Callithrix jacchus: one gene and its partners. The protein of the gene in region 1 purifies or fractionates together with the protein of each later gene. This does not show direct contact. Links are inferred from orthologs where the notes say so. Each region holds a gene or a part of one and is shown on either strand. Other genes may lie near its edges. The genes, in order: CD2BP2, EAPP and USP39.

Evidence for each region.
Region 2: the proteins of CD2BP2 (region 1) and EAPP purify together in Homo sapiens (affinity purification with mass spectrometry; 3 studies listed by BioGRID and IntAct, counting the BioPlex papers as one, with this or other methods). This does not show direct contact. The link is inferred for Callithrix jacchus from reciprocal best matches to the Homo sapiens genes CD2BP2 and EAPP.
Region 3: the proteins of CD2BP2 (region 1) and USP39 purify together in Homo sapiens (affinity purification with mass spectrometry; 5 studies listed by BioGRID and IntAct, with this or other methods). This does not show direct contact. The link is inferred for Callithrix jacchus from reciprocal best matches to the Homo sapiens genes CD2BP2 and USP39.

The regions. Positions count from the first base shown.
Region 1 is NC_133513.1:29,873,100-29,876,699, forward strand, and holds the start of CD2BP2 (CD2 antigen cytoplasmic tail-binding protein 2), read right to left. Parts: upstream 2,779-3,600; 5' UTR 2,644-2,778; exon of another isoform or gene 2,537-2,643; intron 2,206-2,536; 5' UTR 2,179-2,205; coding exon 2,101-2,178; intron 1,509-2,100; coding exon 1,373-1,508; intron 1,247-1,372; coding exon 1,089-1,246; intron 987-1,088; coding exon 551-986; intron 472-550; coding exon 365-471; intron 280-364; coding exon 169-279; 3' UTR 1-168. UniProt on the Homo sapiens protein: Involved in pre-mRNA splicing as component of the U5 snRNP complex that is involved in spliceosome assembly.
Region 2 is NC_133509.1:69,030,357-69,034,079, forward strand, and holds part of EAPP (E2F-associated phosphoprotein), read right to left. Parts: intron 2,074-3,723; coding exon 1,963-2,073; intron 1-1,962. UniProt on the Homo sapiens protein: May play an important role in the fine-tuning of both major E2F1 activities, the regulation of the cell-cycle and the induction of apoptosis. Promotes S-phase entry, and inhibits p14(ARP) expression.
Region 3 is NC_133515.1:27,400,926-27,404,648, reverse strand, and holds part of USP39 (ubiquitin carboxyl-terminal hydrolase 39), read left to right. Parts: intron 1-618; coding exon 619-713; intron 714-3,159; coding exon 3,160-3,296; intron 3,297-3,723.

The DNA of each region.
Region 1 (3,600 bases):
TCCGGCCATCAGCACAGCGAAGGCCCTAATACACAACTAAAGGCTTTTATTGGAAAAGGGAAATTGACTGAAAAATGGCCTCCAATTTCCTCACTGCCTGAGACACTTGGGGGTCTCCTCCACAAAGTCCAGGAAAGAAGGGCCCACCAAACTGGGCCCCCAGCAGGCTCAGGTATAGAGGTCAAAGTCAATGCGTTTGGAGTTGTAGAACTGACCACCAGGGGGGTCCAACTTCCGGCAATAAACACCGTCCGGGAAGTAGCCTTCGCTCACCCAGGTCTGCAAGGAGAGGGCAGAGCTGGGGAAGGACTGACAGGAGTTGGGGAAGCAGGGACAAGGCAGAAGGAGGAAGAAAGCGGCTCACCTGCATCTGGGCGCTGGTGAAGGGTCCATACAGCTCGGCATCCCCTGTGTTCTCCCACTTATATTCCCACATCACATCCACCAGACCATCTCCCGGCGACTCTGCTTCTAAAATAACAGGCAAAGCCATTTGGCCTCCAGTGTCTGCCTCCTGCCCAGTGCCTCCTCCTGTGTCCTCCAAGCTCACCTCCTTTCTGGGTAGGGGTTGGGGTCTCCAGTTCCCCCTCCGCCACTTCCTCAGCAAACATGTCCAGGGAGGGTGGGGGTGTGGGATTGTGGGGTCCCAGGGTCTGGCACCCCAAACCCTTCAGCCTCATGGCCAACCGTTCCCGAGTTTCCTGGTACACGCCAAGGTTGCCCCGGGCCACCATCTGGTCGGCCAACCCAGAGAGCCGGTCCAGGCGCTGTGGGGAATTGGGTCGTCCGGGCCCCTTGCTGCTCCCTTTGCCTCCTCCTCGGGCCCCCAGACGCCTCAGTGCCCCAGCCACTGTTTCTCTAGGCAACAGGAGCTCCAAAAGTCCCTCCAAGAGAGCTTGGGCACTCATTGGGGTCTGGCCCAAGCCATCCTCCTCCTCCGAGTCTGAGGTCTGGCGCTGGCCAGGTGGCCGCTCCCGGATCTTCACCTGTAATGGGAAGAAGGGGAGTGATTTCCCACAAACTGCCACGGGAGCAGGCAGCAGCTCTGCCACTCCCTGGCCCCAGCCATGCCAGCCCCTTGGCCACACCCAGTCAATGTTGTCCAGCCAGCTGTCTCGGATCTGAGCATCCCGGTTCAGGAAGTAGTTGCCATCGGCATCGAAATGGCCTTCCTCCATCTCCTCCTGCAGGTTAAAAGGTGTGATCCGCACACCCCCCTCGCTGGGGAGTGTGGCTGCCTCCTGACCTGCACCAAAGACAGGGGTGTCCTTTGCTGGGGATGAAAAAAAAGAGACCGGGGCCTCCCTCACCTCACACCACCAGAGGTCTCTACTTTTTCCTTCAGTAGAGTGTATTCTTGAGTACAGCTCACCTTCTACATCCTCTGAGGACAAGATGTCATATTTGCTGGACCCCCCATCGTCATCATCCTCCTCATCGCTGTCCAAAGAGTGTTTGCCTTTGAAGCGGCTCCCAGGACCCCCTGACCCAGCCACAGGGTCCACCAGCTGTGAGCAGGAGCCAGGAAGTCAAGAAATGCAGGTTACTGGCTACCTCCCCAAATACTGCCAGATCTGGACCCAAATACTCCCCAAATATTTCAGGATCTCAACTGCTTCCCTAGATATTTCTTTTTTTTTTTTTCTTTGAGACAGAGTTCACTCTTGTTGCCCAAGCTGGAGTGCAATGGCTGATCTCAGCTCACTGCAACCTCCGGCTCCTGTGTTCAAGGGATTCCCCCACATCAGCCTCCCAACTAATTGGGACAGGTGCCCACCACCACCCGGCTAATTTTTAGTACTTTTAGTAGAAATGGGGTTTCACCAGGTTAGCCAGGCTGGTCTTCAACTCCCGACCTCAGGTGATCTGCCTGCCTTGGCCTTCCAAAGTGCTGGGATTACAAGCGTGGGCCACCGTGCCCAGCCCTACTTCCCCAAATATTTCAGGACCCACACTGAAGATGCTCCCAATCCATTCCTCAGTGAACCTGGAAAAACTAGGCTTTTCTCTGCCAGCCCGCCTTGCCCCTCCCAACTTTCTTCCTCCTCAGGCTTCTAGCTCCTCTCTTTCCCCCCACACAAAGAAGTTTGGTCCCCTCACCTTCTTCTTGGGGACACTGATATCATCCTCGTCCTCTTCATCTCCCACGCCTTGGAAGGTCACTTTCCTCTTTGGCATGACAGGGCAGAGAAGGTGTTCCTCAAGCTGAGGAAAGTATGCAGAGGAAGAGAACGGGGTGAGGAGGGGACTCGCCGCCAGAGGATTCCCGGCACAGCAAACATTTTTCTTGGTGACAAGTACAGTTTGAGAGGGAAGGGAGCACAAAAGCAGGGGCGGAAAGGGAGCTGGAAGCCAGAAGGCCTCTGGTACTCGGTCTGGCATCCTCGAATTAAATGGGGCGGGGACGGAGGGGCAATCCCTCTGGATCCCCCGACCCCGGCCAAAAGGAGACAGGCTCCACCATGTGACCACCTCCAAACCCAGCCCCCGCAGTCTGGGTACCACCAGGCTCGACGGGCTGACCCCCGCCTCCTACCCAGGCTCTCTCGGAGCTCGCGGGGCCCGGGCGGACCCAGGACCTGGCGCCCTCGCCGCCCCGTTCCTCCCTGCTCCGAACTCCCAATTCCGTGTGGTGAGCTCCACCTGTCCCGGGCTGCGTACAAAGTAGAGGGCCACGGGGATTCGGATGGTCCCACGCTCGCGCGCTCACCTGGGGATCCGCTGGAGGTGAGGCGGCAAAGAAGAGATGCTTGCGCCAGGGCTACATCCGGGGCACCCGGCCGCCATCACCCGGAAGAGGACTGAGGAATGCGCCGGGGAGGCCGGAAGTGGCTTCACTCCGGCCAGAGGACCAACTGGAAGAGCGGGCGGAAGTACGCGATGAGCGAGGGAAGACACCTCCACCCTTTCTTACGCCAGAAGTGACGTCAGTCGCGTGGGAGGAAAGTGGCGAAAAGAGGAGACTTAAGAATTCCTAGACTCTAACCCGGCGTGAGAAATGGCCGGAAGTAGCTTTGATTCTCTCATTGAGCCGTAGAGGCTCTGGAGAAAAAGTGGAGCGCATCTACTTAAAGGGTCGCTCAGTGTCAGGATTTAGGAGCAAAGTCTGAGCAGAGCCACTGGATTGCTTTCTTGTCTTCCTGTCCTGGGTTCGAGTAACCCTTCCCCCAGGGAAGGGTTCTGCGCCCCTACCGTGTCGCTAGAAATCCTGCCTTCGGCCGGGCGCCGTGGCTCACGCCTGTAATCCCAGCACTTTGGGAGGCCGAGGCGGGTGGATCACGAGGTCAAGAGATCGAGACCATCCTGGTCAACATGGTGAAACCCCGTCTCTACTAAAAATACACAAAAAATTAGCTGGGCATGGTGGTGCGCGGCTGTAGTCCCAGCTACTCGGGAGGCTGAGGCGGGAGAATTGCTTGAACCCAGGAGGCGGAGGTTGCGGTGAGCCAAGATCGCGCCACTGCACTCCAGCCTGGGTAACAAGAGCGAAACTCCGTCTCAAAAGAAAAAAGAAAAGAAAAGAAACCTCGTCTCTCCTAAACTACAAAAAAATTAGCCGGGCGTGGCGGCATACGCCTCTAGTCCCAGCTACTCGGGAGG
Region 2 (3,723 bases), on another chromosome or scaffold:
AAATGGGGGAGGTCCCAAAGAGGATAAGGATATCCCAGTAGGCTGGGAAGGCTGGCTAGGGGTTCACACCTCCACCCTGTGGAACAAACCTCCTATAGTGTGGTGCTGCTGAACAGACACTCTGTTGGCATTTCCTTTGGCAGAGTTAGAGTGGAGTTTCCAGGGTTGCAGATGTAGTCCTACCTACCCCTACCCTCTTTGTCTCTGGCCATCCTCAGTAATATTTTTCCCTTCAGGTACTCTCAGTTCTTCCTATGGGTTGAGGCAGGGACAGATCTCTCACCAGAGAACTCAAGAATGGAAAGAAGCTGTTTGTTCACTTCAATCTCAGTTTTTCTCATGTAAAGATCATGAGCTCAGAGGAATTTTTCTGCTCACTTGGTGCCAGGCAGCTTGTGGAGAAGAATGAGCAGATACAGAAGTCCAATTCTCTTACTGTCTGCTTTAAATTTTTTTCACTTCTTTGTGGCCCTAGAAACTGTCTCCTTATATTTAAGATCTGGGATACTGGTGGTGATAGCTTCAGTGCTATATAGTTGGTTTTGGTTTTCTGCAGGGGGAAGGAAAGCCAGTTTGCTTCCATGCTGCTATTTTGCACTAGAAAAGATACTCTTTTTTTTGAGAGATGGGGATCTCACCTTTGTTTAGTTGCCCAGGCTGCAGTGATGGTCCAGCCCACTGCAACCGTGAACTCCTGGGCTCAAGCCATCCTCTCACCTCAGCCTATTAAGTAGCTGGGTCTACAGTCTTCATCACTATACTCTGCTAATTTTTGGTTTTTTATTTTTTGTAAAGACCAGGTATCACTGTGTTGCCTAGGCTGGCCTCAAACTCCTGGGCTCAAGGGATCGCCTTAGCCTCCCATAGTACTGGGATGAAAGGCATGAGTCACTGTGCCCAGCTTAAAAAGTATAAAAGCTACTTTTTTTTGTCTAAAACAGGGTCTCACTCTGTCACCAGGGTGGAGTGCAGTGGTGCGATCTAGGCTCACTGCAACCTCTATCTCCCAGGTGCAAGTGATTCTCCTGCCTCAGCCTCCTGAGCAGCAGAGGCACGTGTCATCACGCCCAGCTAATTTTTTGTGTTTTTAGTAGAGACAGGGTTTCACCATGTTGGCCAGGATGGTCTCGATTTCTTGACCTCATGATCCACCTACCTCAGCCTCCCAAAGTGCTGGGGTTACAGGCGTGAGCCACTTGCACCCAGCATAAAAGCTACTCTTTTTTTTTTTTTTTTCTTTTTCTTTTTAAAGACAGGGTTTCACTATGTTGGTCAGGCTGGTCTTGAACTCCCAACCTCAGGTGATCTGCCTGCCTTGGCCTCCAAAGTGCTTGGATTACAGGCGTGAGCCACCACACCTGACCTTTTTTTTTTTTTTTTTTTTTTTTAATAGAGACGGGGTTTCACCTTGTTGGTCAGGGTGTTTTCGAACTCCTGACCGCAGGTGATCCACCCACCTCGGCCTCCCAAAGTGCTGGGATTACAGGTGTAAGCCACCATGCCTGGCCAAAGCTACTCTTAATAGAATTATATATAACCAAAATTCATTGTATAAAGATTAGTCACATAGTACCAAGAATATAAATACAGAACCTTATCAGAATTCCTGAGTACCACAAAAGTCTATTTCTGGGCTGGGCGCGGTAGCTCACACCCATAATCCTAGCACTCTGGGAGGCCAAGGTGGGCAGATCACTTGAGATCAGGAGTTCAAGACCAGCCTGGCCAACATGGTGAGACCCCTGTCTCTACCAAAAATTCAAAAACTAACTAGGTGTTGTGGCAGCTGCCTATAATTCCAGCTACTTGGGAGGCTGAGGCAGGAGACTCACCTGAACCCACAAGGCAGAGGTTGCAGTGAGGTAAGATTACACCACTGCACTCCAACTTGGGCAACATCTCCAAAAAACAGGTCTGTTTCTGATTTAAACAAAGTGTGTGTGTGTGTCTTTCATCCATTACCTTTGGCAATCAAGGCACAGTGTGGTCATGCAGGCAGGACAATTCAAGACAGCGTCACTATTTGGAACAGGCTGTTGTTGATGTGACCTCTGTCGTCCCAAACCATGGTAACTAGAACAGAAGAAGAAAGTGAAAGAAACATATATTAAAACCAGATCTTGGTTTCTAGTGTCATTTTCCAATAAAAAGAACGAGTCCTCTTCAGAGAAATGGCTAATTCTAGGAATCAGGAATGCAAAATGAACCTGGAGCATCTTTTAGTGCCAGAAAGGAAGGACGTATTCAAGAAAACAAAAACCAAACAATGAGGTGGTTATGACAAAGGGAAACAGGAGCCAACTAAGAGTCACCAACTGCCAAAGCTGAAACAAACTGAGCAACAAAATAAAGTAGGATTGGATTACAACCCAAAGTATAAAATAAATACCCAAGAGTCCATGCTAGCATAAATGTATTGAATAAATAAATCAATGGGGGAGAACAAATAAATCCCCACACAGAATTCTAAATGATCTATAAAGATGCTCTTCTCTCACAGTGGTGGAGTGTAACTCCCTAGTCCTTAAGTCTGGGTTGGACACAGTGACTTCCTTCCAAAGAGCACAGTATATGGTAGCGGGGTAAAAGACTAACTTCACAGAAGAGAAAGCTAACACTGGTTAGCAAGGTGATCAAGGCCAACATCAACACACAAAACTCATGCTGGTAGTATGTACTCTTAAAATAATGTGATGAAAATGGCTCTGTACTTCTGTGTTCTTCCTCATAAAAATCCATAATCTCATCCTAATTATGAGAAAAAACATCAGACAAATTCCCACAGAGGAGCCTCCTACATACACCTGACTAGTGCTCCTCAAAGTACATAAAGGCACTGAAAACAAGGGAAGTCTAAGAAACAGACGTAGTCAAGAAAAGCCTGTGGAGACATAACTAAACGTAATGTAGTATTCTACATGGGATCCGCAAACAGAAAACGAACATTACATAAAAACTAAGGAATTTTTTTTAAATTATGGACTTTGATTAACAATAATGTATCAATATTAGTCCATTGTGACAAATGTACCAAAAATAAAAGTTCATGAACTTTTTAAAAACAGTACAGCTACATTTAAAAAAGAAGCATACAGCCAGACATGGTGGCACACATCTGTAATCCCAGGCCAAGGTAGGCAGATCACTTGAGCCTAGGAGTTTGAGACCAGCCTAGGCAACATGGTGAAATCCTGTCTCTATAAAAAAAATTTTTTTAAATAAAATAAAAATAAAAATAAACAATCACACACCGGGCATGGTGGCTCACGCTTATAATCCCAGACCTTAAGGAGGCCAAGGCAGGATGGGATTGCTTGAGCCCAAGAATTTAAGACCAGCCTGGGCAACATAGCAAGACCTCGTGTCTATTAAAAATTAAATTAGAGGCCAGACACAGTGGCTCACCCCTGTAATCCCAACACTTTGGGAGGCCGAGGCGGGTGGATAACCTGAGGTCAGGAGTTTGAGACTAGCCTGACCAAAATAGTGAAACCCCGTCTCTACTAAAAACACAGGCCCAGCCGCATCTCAATTTTTAAAGATTGAATTTGTAAGTAGTTTAAATAAAAAAAATCATTTGAGTGCTAAATCCACAAAAACTTTTTTTGAGATAGGGTTTCACTCTGCCACTCAGGCTGGAGTACAGTGGCGTGATCTCGGCTCACTACAACTTCCACCTCCCAGATTAAAGCGATTCTCCCACCTCAGCCTCCTGAGCAGCTG
Region 3 (3,723 bases), on another chromosome or scaffold:
ATAAATAGATCTGTTTGTAGGTATTCTAAAATTTTTCAGCCTTTCCATTTGTTTTTATGGACAAAAATACGTTTTTATTTTAAAATTTACTATTATTATTATTTTTTTTTTTTTAAGAGAGGATCTCACTCTAGCCCAGGCTGGAGTGCAGTAGTGGATCAGAGCTCACTGTAGCCACAAACTCCTGGGTTAAAGTGATACATTTTTCTTTTGTGAAAAGATTTATTCATCCTTTTTATGTCCTCTCCACCTCCAGAATGCTGTTGGGGTCCTTTTACCTTAGTCTGACTTGTAACTTTCCCTTTAGAAAAAGTGAATGCAGTGGGAAGTCTTGAACTGGTTACAAACACTAATGAGAAAGATACTTTTGGTTATTAGGTGTCTGGTGGAGACACCTCAACACTGCTTTGGAGCATGGCAGGTGGAGGTGAGGAATAATCAGTGTCTCCGAATAATCAGTGTCCCCCAATAATCGGTATATATATTGTTGTGAACTGTTTTCTGAAGGCTGTTGTGTGGTATCATTGAACATCACAGAGCCAACACTGCTTCATTTGAGTGCCTTCCTACATGTCCATCCTATTGTTTATTTTTTTCTGTTTTGTTTTGTTTCCTTAGAAGTGTGCTGGACTTTGACTTTGAGAAACTGTGTTCTATCTCCCTCTCACATATCAATGCTTACGCCTGTCTGGTGTGTGGCAAGTACTTTCAAGGTAATGAGTGTTAAAAATTACAAACTTGTTAAGCTTTTAGAGCTAGCTGCAGATCTGTTCCAGAGGGACTTTTTTTTTTTTTTTTTTAAAGAAAGTAAGCTGTTCTCAGGAATTATATCTAATAATTTCAATTTGTTCCCAGGAAATTGAAATATTCTTAGAAAACGAACAAGAGGTTCTCTGACTGGTCAGAGCCTGGATATATCTGAAAGGGAGAAAGGGCAAATCATATGACATCAAAGACTGGATTCTTGATTCTAATATATGTATTTTCTTATTTTTAATTTTTTATTATTTTGAGACAGAGTCTCACCCTGTCACCCAGGTTGGAGTGCAGTGGTGCAGTCTTGCCAGCTAATTTTTGTTTAAATTTACATGGAGTCTTGCTTTGTCACCCAGTCTGCAGTGCAGTGACATGATCTTGGCTTACTGCAACCCCTGCCTTCTGGGATCAAGCAGTTCTCCTGCCTCAGCCTCCCAATTAGCTGGGATTACAGGCATACCACCATACCTGGCTAATTTTATATTTTTAGTAGAGACAGGGCTTCACCATGTTGGCCAGGCTGGTCTCAATCTCCCAACTTCAGGTGATCTACCTTGGCCTCCCAAAGTGCTGGGATTACAGGCATGAGCCACCGTGCCCAGCCAATTTTTTATTTTTATTTTTGACATAGAGTCTCCCTCTGTCACCCAGGCTGGTGTGCAGTGGCATGATCTAGGCTCACTGCAACCTCTGCCTTCTGGGTTCAGTCTGTTCTCCTGCCTTAGCTTCCTGAGTACTGGGATTACAGGTGTGTACCATCACACCCAGCTAATTTTTTTTTTTTGTACTTTTAGTAGAGATAGGGTTTTATCATGTTGGTCAGGCTGGTCTCGAACTCCTGACCTCGTGATCTGCCTTCCTCGGCCTCCCAAAGTGCTGGTGTTATAGGTGTGAGCCACTGTACCCGGCCAATTTTTTTTTTCAATTTTATTTATTTATATTTTGGGCTGGAGTTTCGCTCTGTTGCCCAGGCTCACTTGCATCACTGAGTTCAAGTGATTCTCCTGCCTCAACCTCCCGAGCAGCTGGGACTACAGGCATGCACCACCACGCCACTACACCTGGCTAATTTTTGTATTTTTTAGTAGAAATGGGGTTTTACCATATTGGCCAGGCTAGTCTTGATCTCCTGACCTCAAGTGATCCACACTCATCAGCCTCCCAAAGTGCTGAGATTACAGGCGTAAGCCACTGCACCGGGCCACATTTTTTTTTTTAAAAGATGGGATTTTTCTCTGTTGCCCAGGCTAGTCTCAAAACTCCTGAACTCAAGCAGTCTGCACTTTGGGGCCTCCCAAAGTGCTGGGATTTATAGGTGTGAGCCACTGCACCACGCCATCTGGCTATTTTATTTTATTTTATTTTGTAGTGACAAGGCTTTATTATATTACCCAGGCTGCCCTTTTATTTTTTAATCCTTTATCTCCATGGACTTTTTTTTCCCCATTCTTTTCTGAAAATGCATAATTTCAACTTATTCAGACCAAGCAGATGCCACGTACATAGTATAGTGGAGGGTTCAAATGAGGTAAAAACATCCTGACATGGTGGCTCGCACCTGTAATCCTAGTATTTTGGGAGGCCAAGGCAGGAGGTTTGCTTAAAGCCAAGAGTTCAAGACCCACCTGGCTAAAGTAACAAGACCCTGTCTCAAATAAAAAAGAGATAAAAACTATATTCTTTGCTGTTATAAGTAGCTTATAAGAAGTCAAGGTTGACAATGTAAAACAACCAGCAAGTTCTGTTAGAACTTAAAGATTCTGCTAGACTGTGGCAGTGAATAAAAATAAAGGCAATAGGAGTTGAAATATGTAAAAGTCAGTGTTAGCCGGAGTGTTTATATTGAGTTCATGGAGGAGTTGAGGTGGGACTTGAATTGGCAGGACATAGGATTTTGAATGGTTAAGGGAGAGATTCTAGAAAGGAGTAGCAACATGAAAAAAGTTACATAGATGCAGCATTGTCCTGAATATGGATAGTTGGAAATTCAGGACTGAGTGATGATGGACTGTCATAGGATATGTATGTATTTGTGTATATGTGTATTTATTCACACATATATGCATGGCTATTTCTGATTTCATATATATAGGAAACTATATATAATATATATATAGGTTATATATATTAGGTTATATACATATTATATGTGAAATAGTGAAATTTGTTTCCTCAGTCAATGTCTTACACCATCTAGGGAATGAAGTAACTAATGTGCCAGTTTTTCTTGCTCATTTTTTTATAAGAGAAGTTCATGTGGAGGATTCATTTTATGAATGGCATAATATTTGTTTTTTGCGGATGCTAACATGTTCTGGTAGAAAATAATGAAAGGAAAAGCAAACCTGATCGGTGCCTTCTAGGATCTGCCCTTCTGTTACAGCCTTTCCCCTTTCCCTACAGGCCGCGGTTTGAAGTCTCATGCCTACATTCACAGTGTCCAGTTTAGCCACCATGTTTTCCTCAACCTCCATACCCTCAAGTTTTACTGCCTTCCAGACAACTATGAGATCATCGATTCCTCATTGGAGGATATCACGGTGTGTGTCTAAGAGGGTTGGTTTGGGGTCCATTCTTTATGAGCCATCCCAGGGCTCCCAGGGGACTGCTCCACCTGAGGACAGGGAAGAATCTCAGTCCTTTTGGGCCTTGAGAGATTGCTTTCCCTTTTGGAAGGAACCAGGGAAACTGATTGTCATTTCTGCCTTTAACATTGAGGACTAGGACTGAAGAAATATGGCTGTATTCTGATAGGGTTGAAAGTGTTTTTGTGAAATGAATTATTCTTCCACACTTTGAAGTAGGGATATTAATTGGGTGTGGTGTAGGACAGTAGTTACCAAGCTGCACACCAGCTCCTGGCTGCTTTTATTTTATGATGTGGCCAGAGCATCCAGCCACAGATGTATCATCTGTGGGCTCTAGTTTGTGACCTGGACCAAGAGATACTCATTGTACTGAACATGG